Linked DNA regions of Mus musculus. The protein of the gene in region 1 interacts with the protein of each later gene in a pairwise test. Links are inferred from orthologs where the notes say so. Each region holds a gene or a part of one and is shown on either strand. Other genes may lie near its edges.

Region 1 (2,734 bases):
GTATGGGTTCAAAAGCACTGAAGACACATGAGGGAGAGCAGCCTTGGACCAGAGCCATCTTGGAAAACTCGGGTCCAAATGGGAATCAGAGGATGGCACAGGATATAAGGGTATCCTGCCTCAGGAACCCAGGGCAAAAGCATCTCTGAAGGGAAAGGACACGGAGCTCTGAAAGTAAACACCAGACTCACAAGCTCAGACCGAGTTTGACTTTAGAAACAAGTGCAGAGCCTCGGGCAGAGATGCAGAAGAGCTGCCTCTGCCCACATGGTTAAGAATCCTGGCTCTGCCAGGCAACAACAGTAGCACATGCCTTTAATCCCAGCACTTGGGAAGCAGAGGCAGGTGGATCTCTGTGAATTTAATGCCATCCCGGTCTACAGAATGACTTCCTGGACAGCCAGAGCTACATAGAGAAAACCTGTCTTGGAAAAAGCAAACAAGAAAATCTCCTGGCTCTTACTGACTCCATCGTCTTCCCTCTGCTTCTGCGGACCCCAGGTGATTGGGTATCTCAAGCACTCACTCCCCACTGGGCACCGGAAACCACAAAGCAGAAATTTCATATCCATTTATCTCTGTCTTCAACTTTCTAGGTGAGGATCCTCCAACAAAACCAAGGTTATAAAGAGAAAATCATGTAAACTTGTTCTGGGTTGTATGTGGCATAAGATCCTGCAGAATTAAGGTGCTAAAGGGTAGGGTATGTGTTTGTGGACAGTCAAGCTCCAAAAGTGGTATGAAAAGAACTCCACAAGGCCTGTTGCCTAGACTCTTCTTGGCTTCTCTGTCACATGAAGTCTTCACAGGAGAAGGGAGGAAGAAGCCAGAGAGTGACTTTCTGGATTTTGTGTATTGCCTCCTGGAGGAGGGAAAGGAAGCCGGGTTGCGCACGCCTTTGATCCCAGCACTTGGGAGGCAGAGGCAGGCAGATTTCTGAGTTTGAGGCCAGCCTCCTCTACAAAGTGAGTTCCAGGAGAGCCAGGGCTATACAGAGAAACCCTGTCTCGAAACCCCCCCCCCCCAAAAAAGGGAAAGGAGCCTCTTTACTCTTTCCTTGACAAAACGCAGTATTTGAGGTATGTTTGGTATGTTTCCTATCCCTTCATCTCAGTAAACTGAAGGATGGTTCATGCCTTCAATAGAAGTCCAGGATAATCACGAGGCCCTCTTCTGTGGGTCCTGGCCACGTCCAAGGAGCTCAGACCAGGTTCTCATACCTGGTGATACCTGTGAGTTTCTCACACAGGTCTTTGAAGCAAGGTCTCTGCTTGGGGTCTCTGCTCCAGCAGCTGAGCATCAGCTTGTGTATGTTGGGTGGGCACTCCAGAGGGCAGGGCATGCGGTAGCCGGCATCCACCCTCAGGAAGGTTTCATGATTGGACATGCCTGTGGCCCATGGGAGAAGAGAAATGAGAGCTAGGAGACTGATCCCTGGAAGCCACACCCAGCTTCCTTTGGCTCCTCCCTGAATGCTGACCCCTGCTAGAATGACCACCATCATGCCCTGGACATGTTGTAGCACACTGTCCATGGATGTTCCCTTCCCTGTGGATGGTGTCTCCCAGAAATGATCCCAAAAGCATGCTCCCAGATGCTCGAGGAATGAAACAGGGGTGGGGTCTGGTTGAGGCCCTGGGAAACACCTCCTGTCATCTCTGTCACCCATTCAAGACCTGCCCTGACTCTAGCTCACTATTTGTCCACCCCTGGAGACATTCTTGGGGCAATACCTGGGTAGGGCATCTGCCCCCTGCTGAAAATTTCATGAAGAAGAACTCCAAAAGACCAGACATCAGACTTGATGGAGTAATGCCCTCGGGAAAGTGCCTCAGGTGCTGTCCATTTGTAGGGGACATTGTGCTCATGGGAAAGGTAGATGTCCTCCTGTGGTAAGATGTCTTATGGTAGGACCTGACACTAGAGAGAGCTGCCACTTGTACCCTTCTTGTGTAGCACTGACAAGCATGGACTCCAAGGTCCTGGTGAGCAGGGACAACCACATTGCCTATTGCTGTCTGACCCACTAACACCACCCCACTGCTACCATGGGTAGCTACCACCAATGCTGCCAGAATCATGGCTAGGCCCAGTAAATATGCCAATTCACTAGAATTCTGGGTCAGGGAAAGACAAGAGCAGAGTTACAATGCATGAATACAGGAAAATCTCTAGGTACATGGCTATGTCTGTCTAGGTTCTCAAAGCTAGATCAGTAGGGTATGAACAAGGCTGTGGCTGTATAGATAAAGCCATCTTGCTTGCCTATTAACGCCACCCTATCAGGAACCCATCTTGCTTATGGCTAGGTTCAGCTCAAGGCTTGGGAGATAAAGCCCCACCTCCTGCTTCTGTCTCCTACCTCCAAGGGACCTACCTTGACAAGCCTGGCAAGCCCAAAGTCCCCCACTTTGCAGAGATTGTTCTCTGTAACAAGAACGTTCCTTGCAGCCAGGTCACGGTGGATGTAATTCTGAGATTCCAGGTAGCACATGCCCTCAGCAACCTGTGATGCAAAGTCCACCAGCTCCAAAATAGGCAGGGCTTTCTCATCAGAGTCTGTAGGGTGATCAAAGGCCAGAGTCAGCTGGCCAGAGACCAGTCCTCATTTACTGTGGCTACGAAGGCTACAGCAAAGAGCAGCTGGCTTGGCTTAATTGCAAAATGGGAAGGCCTAGACCTTCTGCAGCTATGTACCTAGAGACAAAGAGCATATTCTTTGTCTGACACCCTT
Region 2 (3,651 bases), on another chromosome or scaffold:
TTAAAATGTCCAAAAGCCTCAAAATATTAAAGAATAAACAACACTAAAACTCCTATGACTCTATGTTATGCGGCATAATAGTTCTTTTAAAAAGTAAATTAATAAGAACTAGCTAGGCTTGGTGGCTCATGTCTGTAATACCCACCTGAGTTACACAGAAAAACAGTAAACTTCCTTTCAAAGTCTGATTTGGGAATCACAAATGATCTTTGAACTTGTTTCTGGTCTAGACATGGCATAATACTGTTTATAAAGTCTATCAAACTCATTTATCTCAACATTTCTTGCATAGATAACAGTGCTAAGAAAACAACTTCGTGAAATATGTTCATATGTATATAATTCTAATTTTCAAATGCCTTAAAAGTCCATATAAATTGATATGAAATATGATCCAAATCCTAGTGCTTTATCAAAATATGTTCATTCCTGTTTCCTGTAATCTTTACAAGTGTATCATGTCTACTGGTGTTCATGTGCATATATGTATTATAACATAATTACAATATTTGTCAATTCCCTTTCTTCCCTGAAAATCCTACATACCTCTCCTAGCCTCAGCCCTTATAAGAGAAGAGGGAGGAAAGAACTAACTAGCTTATGACGTGACTGTCTCAGACTTGCCAGTTTCTGAATAATGACGTACTTATTATTTATTAAAGCTTAGGCCTTAGCTGACTACCTCCTGATTTGCTTGCATAACTTAACCATTTAGTCTAGTCCATGTTTACAATGTGGTCCATTACCTTTCACTCAGTTCCAATACATCTGACTTCATCTGTGTCTGGCTGGCCAATCTCCTGCCTATCTCCTTTCCCCAGAGGTCCTTCCTCTGCCTGAAACTGGCCTTTCCTCTCCTGCCTCAACTATAGGCCATCAGCTCTTTATTAAACAAATCAGAAGAATGCCTTATGCAGGTGCAGAAGGACAGAGACAAACAAGCAAACATAAAACCGCTGTGTGAGATTGCATCTTAGTTATCCAAGCTGACTTTGAAATCATTATGTTGACTAGACTGCCTCAAACATGAGATCCTCCTGCCTCAGCCTCCTGAGTAGATAAGACTACATATACCACCCTGCCTGTTATCTGCTTTGCCTTCCAAAGGATGCAAACAGCTGAACTGCTCTAAGCTGGAAGGCCCTTTCCACATTAGATTTCAGATTTTGGTTCATGATAGTTAAAACTTTTCAAATATATCAAAATTAACAGCACAGTGAAAAGAGAAAACAAGAATTCAAGAAAGAAAGAAAAGATTTTTATTTCAAACCTCCTGTCCTATTTGATGCTTATATGAAGATGTATTATTTAAAAATAGTAATAAAAATATAGTAGTCATTAAATACCAATGAAAATATGACAATGCAACTAACCTTATTAGTGGCATTAGGTGATCATTAAACTGTTTGTCAAAAAGATGAAAAATAGTATTGGCCTGTTGTACAACATCCAAAAAGTAGAGATTTGCATTCCTAGAATCTGATGATGGGATTCCTAAAATCGGAAGGCATAGGTAAGTGGGAACAACCTTTAAAAAAACTGAGCAAAAGAAAAAAAATATTTATATATACCACATGAATAAAATTAACTGTCATGTAACAAATCAGCAACAATTCTATAGATTAAACAGCTTAATGAGATTTATCCAAAGCTATTTTTATACCCCAAAGTTAATCATCTTCATGATTTGTTTAGATAAAATGGAAAATGAATCAATTAACAACGTGCCTGGGCTCTGCCTTCTCCTTCTGTCCCCAAACCTCCTACCACAACTACACACTGTGCTCATCATGTTCTCCACCCCGTCCTCAGAACTATTCAGACCCTCATCACCCAGAGGCGTGTTTCCACAACATCTCCTAATGCTCTGTGCTTGTCAACAACATTCTGACACCAAAAGATGGAGCTGAAACCCGCTCTAGATCCACTTCCTCCTTTCATAAAGAGAAATACACGGACTCAAGGATCCTTCCTCTTTTTAGCTCGAGATGCCAGTGTTTCTATGTAAAATTAAGAGAAGTCTAAGAAAACCACCCACAGCTAATGATAATATATAACTTACTGCCTAGAGTTCTTACTACCTAGAGTAGCTTTACAAATGGAAAACAAAGATGTTTTGTACAAAAAATACAATTGTTGGTAGGAAAATTAAAGGTGCCAACACAAACATACAATTAAAAAAACTGAAGCACATGTAGAAAATACTAATCACCATAAAACATGGAAATTAAGGCAGTATTAGTGGATGTATTTAACTAATAATATGTGAAAAAAATGGAAAACTATGTACTAACATACATAAAAACCTATATATACATACAGGCTAGAAGCAATGTAAGTTGTACGGAATAAGCTCCTTAGGAAAAAAGTACATTAATGAAAATTATTTTAAAATATATATGCATAGTGTGCTTTGACTTGGGACTTTACCTAAAGACAATAATTTCAGTAAAAAGAAAGGTCTACAATGCTACTCCAGTATGTCTTATTACCTGGCAGAATTGTATGTGGTCATTAGGACAATGACCATGAACACTAACTGCATTGAACATGCTCATAGATATGAGAAATATTCCCTGTCCAAATGAAATTTTCCTAAACATTTCAAATACTGCTATTGAAATCAATAGGAAAGTTTCCATTCTAAATGAACAATAAATTCTTCATACCTTACTCCTTGTTATCTTGTAATTTCTAATGAACAAATTGATTTTAGTTATGTATGTGTGTTAGTCAGAGGACAACATTCAAGAGTCAGTTATCTCCTTCCACCATGGGATCTGGATACTGAACTCAAGTTGTCAGGCTTGGCAGCAAGTGCCTTTTACTGCTGAACCATTTTACTGGCCCTTATTCTTACTCATCATCTTATTCTGTAATCACATCTTAAAATATTTAAATTATTCTAATACAAATGACTACACTAAGTCATTTTCTACCAGCACAATTTAAATAATTAATGTCAACAGTCTACTCTAATTAAGTTAAAATTCACTAAAAGACATGGTTGCTTATGAAGGGTAATAGAGTTAAGTTAGTGACTGGTCTATAGCTAAGTCTGGTTCATTATTAAAGGTTTCTAGGCTGGTATTTTACACAGCCAATAGAAACTTTCTGAACTGTATATGCTTTCTACAGGCTAGAGTATAATGCTGGAGGGTAGGAGGGACTAAACAACTGAGATTCCTATATATTCCTAATATGCTGTTGTCTCTACTTAGATTATTCTTACTCCAAATATTCAGTTTACTCACCACTTTATTGAGTTCTCTGGTTCATGTGTCTTCTCAGAAGCCTTCTCTGACTACCCTTTCATAAAAAGCTTTTGGGAGGCTGGCGAGATGGCTCAGTGGGTAAAGGTGCCTGCTGCCAAGCCTGACCACCTGAGTTCGATCCCTGGAACAAACATGGTGGAAAAAGAGAACCAACTCCTGCAAGTTGTCCTCTGACCTCTACATGCGTGAACACACACAAAATAAATGATAAATAAGGAAAAAGAAAAAAATTCTGTCTGTAAATCCTTTACCCTGCCTCCCCGTTAGTATTTTCTATCCTTTATCTAGTTTTGTTTTCCTTTATTATATACTTCCTAATCATTTGTCTATCATTTTTATGAGAACACGAATCCCATAACTAACCATCTAACAAGTA
Region 3 (4,415 bases), on another chromosome or scaffold:
GTGAACCAAGCCCTCCTGCACACATGCCTGGGGGCCACGCTGGGTAGATGACAGTTGTCTTCGTCATCTTGGGCAACAGTCTCCCGGAAGCCATCAATGTCCCCAGAGCTCATGTTAGACAGCACCCTGCTTCCCGCCACCCTAACATAAAAGCCACTCTTAGGGGGCATACTTCATGCTGTTCCCTACCCCACCTGGCTAGATACCAGCTATCAGGGCCATGACCACCCATCTGGCTCTACCCAGCAGCCCTTGATGGGCCACAACCTGCACCCAGATCAGGGCCTCCCGCCTGAAGAGTAGGGCCAAGGATAGGCCCAGAGGCTGCCACCTGGCCAGGAAGTGACAGACCGACCGTTGGCCCCAGACCCGGAGCCACGGCTGTGGGATAACTTCCTGCTCTGAGGAGACAAAGATTGGGGTCAAACTCACCGATGGGCACTGAGAGTTGGGGCCCCTGAAGGATGGGGTAGGCACCGGGAGGCTATGACCCCTGACACTTCCGCCAGCACTAACTGGAGGCCTCTGTGTCTGGGGGAGGACAGGAAGCCTGGCCCGCCCTGCCTGCCACCCAACCGTCACCTCCCCGCCCAGCATCCCTGGGACCTCCCCATAGTCACAGGGCAGCCACACAAATGGGGGAGGTGAGGGAGCAGACTGGAGGCGACATGATCATTACCAGAGAGACAGACAGCCACAAGTGTCTACCTTGGCCTGCGCTAGGTCAGTATGCCCATGAGTGGAAACCGAGGCTTGAAGACAGGTGAAGCCTCACCCTCAGAAAGGGAAACTCAAATATTCTTACAATTACTTTAGGATCAACAGATTAAAGTTTGTTTTTAGAAATGGTCTCAAGTAGCTGAGGCTGGCCTCAAAATTCACTATGTAGCAGAGGATGGCCTCACATTTTTGATCCTCCTGTCTCCTCCTCTGGGTGCTAGGGTGATGGTGTGGTGTAAATATTAAGTACTACAAGGCGTCTCTCAGCCCCTTGTTCTTGGGGTTTCGTTTTGTGTTTTTAAACCGTGTGATTTGGAAAGAAGTTAAAACACCAATAGAGGCCTCTGAAAATGTTTTAGCCTAAGACAGTTTACCTAATGTAACCTGGGGCTTTCTGGGCTCTACAATACTAGAATAAGGTCCAGGGACAGACACTGCTCAGAGGCACAGAGCAAGCACCCCATCTCCTGACACCGAGTCCCCAAAACCTGAGGCTTAGGTGGGTGAACAGCACCAGGGAACTGAGCCAGGCAAGACTAGACCAGAGCTGCACTCTGGGGGTTGGATACAGGCTGGCTGTGCCCACAGCCATTGATCCCTAGTGTGACCCTCACTGCCTCCCCTCCCACACCAGCCAGAAATCTACAGGGAAACTGAGGCCACTGTGCAAGCCTTCCACTGAGTCATTTCATTTGTCACACATACTTTGAGCACCACTGTGTACCCAAGTCCTTGGGGTGCTAGTGACACTGGTCACACCCTTCAAAGACATCTCACTGCCTCCTTGGCTGTGACCCCATTTAATGAATGCAATATCATAATTACTATCATAGGAGTGGGTGTTTACGGCGCGCTGTCACTCCCACAACCACCTCTGATCTTCCTACAGACTTTCAGTCCACTTCACAGAAGGCTCAGTTTAAGTCCAGTCTGGGCACACAAATTTGGGGGTGTCAGGCTTCCTGCCTGGGACTCACCCTACTATCCTGCAAGAGGCAGGGACTAAGACCTGACCTTCCACTTGGGACCCCGCCCAGGAACCAGCCTAGGAACCCTATTGTAGGTGATGGTATGTGGGTCAGGGTGTGACCTGGGCAGCCACATGGGTGGGACCACAGTGACAAAGTCTGGGTCTTGATTGGAGGCCCGTCCATCTTATGGTCAGATAGAAACTGTCCTCTGCTGGCCTTAGGTCTCGCTGCTCCGCCCCAGGCTAGACTGTATCCATCAATCAAAATCATGGTTTGTTTTGTTTATGCTTTTTTAATGAGGCAGAGTCTGTGAATGTAGCCCAGGCTGGCCTCAAGCTGCAGATCTTCCAGCCTCAGCCACCAGAGGATTGTAATGACCACACCAGGCTCAACCCCTTTTAAAGTGCCAAAACCAGAGTGCCCTAACATTTGACTAAAGATTGTGGTCCCCATCTGGAGAAAATGGGGCACAGGTGTTGGGAATTTGAGACAGATAGTCTGGCTTCCTCAACCTCTATATTCTGAGGAGGAGACTAAGGATCAGGGAGGTGCTGTCACCTGCCCAAGGTCACCATGAAGCAGGTCCTGCGACGCTGAGGGCAAGTGGAGGGGCGGCCATCCCCGACCTTCTCTGCACCCCATCCTCATTCACCTAGACTAATTCTGTCCCTTGGAGCAGATGCCGGCTGCCCCCCTAACAGGGCGCGGGAGTCCCTGGTGCAGGCTCCAGGCCTCTCCAGGCCCCGTTCCCCCGGGAGGGGATCCCGCGCTCCATACTCCAGATACCCCGCAATTCCACCACACTCGCCCTACAGAACCCCCACCAGCCTACCAACCCTAGAGCGGGTGCAAAGGAAAGGAGGAGACCCTCGTTCCCAGGCGAGGAAGAGGGGCAGCGAGGGAGGCGGCCCCCAGCTTAGGGCCAGGCTAGAGACCCGGAAGAGGGATTGGGGGTCCTGGGGGGGGTCTCAGCCTCCCAGCCCAGGATTGAGAGATGCCATAGAGTGGCGCCCCGCCTTCTGCAGACGGCACCTGCGCTCGGGCCGGGTCAGGATGGAGGCTGCGTCCCCGCCCCGCACCCCGCCCCCGCGTCCTGCACCCCGCACCCCGCACCGGAGCCCCGCGCCGGGGACACTCACCGCCTCTCGCGGCGCTACCTGCGCGCTCCAGACCCGCGCCCCGCCCTCCCCGCGCGCTGCGGAGCGCGCTGCTGGCCCCGCCATGGGTGTGGTCAGGAGGAGCTCCGCCCCGCGGTGCTTCATAAACCCTGCACTGGTTGGCTGAGCCTGGAAATTCATCCGCAGGCTATTTGCATATTTTAAAGTGACAGGAGAAGCTCCTTGATCTCTGCACCTGTCAAGTCTCTCGGGAGACTGGGAGGGAAAGAGGGGATAGCTTTTATTAAGTACCTACTGCATACATGGCTCTTTGGAGAACCCCTCCGAGGCTGTGAATTAGGTGACATTTAATATTGAGCCTCATTTTACAAACAAAGGAATCAAGGAACATGGCTAGGAGTTGCTTTGGAGGTCATATAGCAACTCTGGTCTATCCATTCATGTGACATGCCATTTATTTATTCAGGCTGTGTGCTGGTGATGAAGCCAGGCTGCCCCAGCATTAAGCAAGAGCCACATGTCCACTCCACTCCCATATGACAACTTCGAGAGACTTAACTCCCCGGCCTGGGCTCCGTTTCTTGTTCAGGGTCACATGGCAGCATGATGATCCTCAGGACTACTGAGCCATCTCTCTCCCTGCCCCAGAAGCACCTCCAAGGAAGTGGGACCACTGGCCTGGGCACAACCAGAAAGCTAAGTGCCCTTCATCTCCAGTACATGCCCCTGCAGCCTTGGACCCCAGACACCTCAGTTTGGGCATTTTCCTGTGGTGGGAATCAAATCCAGGTCCATCCCAGACTGAGGCTGCCCCACTTCTTACTTGAACCATCTACTGCAGCTCTGCCCCAAATGATGCCGGGTTCTGATGGCAACCATACATAGCTAAATACTAGCTTCAGGGCCGGTGAGATGGCTCAGTGGGCAAAGATGCTTGTAGCAAAGCCTGGATTTTTTGAGAGAGTCCTGAAAAGTATCCTCTAACCTGTGGCATGTGCACACTACCAATGAATCAATTAATCAATTTATGCATCAATTCAAACAATAAAGATTAAACATTTAGATAGGCCCCACACCCAGCTGACTGGTGACCATCTGCCACAATTGGTAAGATAGCCCGCTCTCCATTCTCCATGCTGTTCACATTTTTCACATGTCCTTTTGTTGGCCCAAGAGCCCTCGAGTCACCTTTGGGTTCTGGGATTTGAGAATGGTAAGAAAAGCATCTCTCTCTCTCTCTCTCTCTCCCTCCCTCCCTCCCTCCCTCCCTTCCTTCCTCCCTCTCTCTCCTCCCCATATGTGTGTGGATGTGTGCATGCATGCCATTGCTGTGTCCAGAGCTGGAGTAGGGTGGGTTCCAGGGGCTGAAGCAAAGCCATCAGAGTCGGATGGAACAGGTTTTGACCTGTGATCACTGTCACCTGTCATTGACTGGTTCTAGGCAGGTGCTGGTCTAGAACTCAAGACTTCCCAGGCCCTTTCAGGGGTGTGCACCCCCATAGCAGCCCTCATTCTCGACATGACTCAGTCGTATCTCCGTGATGAGGACACAGGAAATGGGAGAAAGTTTCCCCGAATGTGGACTATCAGGAGGAAAAGTGTGATT

Evidence for each region.
Region 2: the proteins of Ptk6 (region 1) and Exoc5 interact in binary tests that used the Homo sapiens proteins (3 or more experiments, as listed by UniProt). The two-hybrid records come from large-scale screens. The link is inferred for Mus musculus from reciprocal best matches to the Homo sapiens genes PTK6 and EXOC5.
Region 3: the proteins of Ptk6 (region 1) and Fcho1 interact in binary tests that used the Homo sapiens proteins (3 or more experiments, as listed by UniProt). The two-hybrid records come from large-scale screens. The link is inferred for Mus musculus from reciprocal best matches to the Homo sapiens genes PTK6 and FCHO1.

The regions. Positions count from the first base shown.
Region 1 is NC_000068.7:181,194,568-181,197,301, forward strand, and holds the end of Ptk6 (protein-tyrosine kinase 6), read right to left. Parts: intron 2,560-2,734; coding exon 2,378-2,559; intron 1,888-2,377; coding exon 1,734-1,887; intron 1,390-1,733; coding exon 1,202-1,389; 3' UTR 557-1,201; downstream 1-556. UniProt on the Homo sapiens protein: Non-receptor tyrosine-protein kinase implicated in the regulation of a variety of signaling pathways that control the differentiation and maintenance of normal epithelia, as well as tumor growth.
Region 2 is NC_000080.6:49,018,029-49,021,679, forward strand, and holds part of Exoc5 (exocyst complex component 5), read right to left. Parts: intron 3,397-3,651; exon of another isoform or gene 3,255-3,396; intron 1,540-3,254; coding exon of another isoform or gene 1,495-1,539; coding exon 1,374-1,494; intron 1-1,373. UniProt on the Homo sapiens protein: Component of the exocyst complex involved in the docking of exocytic vesicles with fusion sites on the plasma membrane.
Region 3 is NC_000074.6:71,722,803-71,727,217, forward strand, and holds the start of Fcho1 (F-BAR domain only protein 1), read right to left. Parts: upstream 2,880-4,415; 5' UTR 2,831-2,879; intron 543-2,830; exon of another isoform or gene 433-542; intron 1-432. UniProt on the Homo sapiens protein: Functions in an early step of clathrin-mediated endocytosis. Has both a membrane binding/bending activity and the ability to recruit proteins essential to the formation of functional clathrin-coated pits.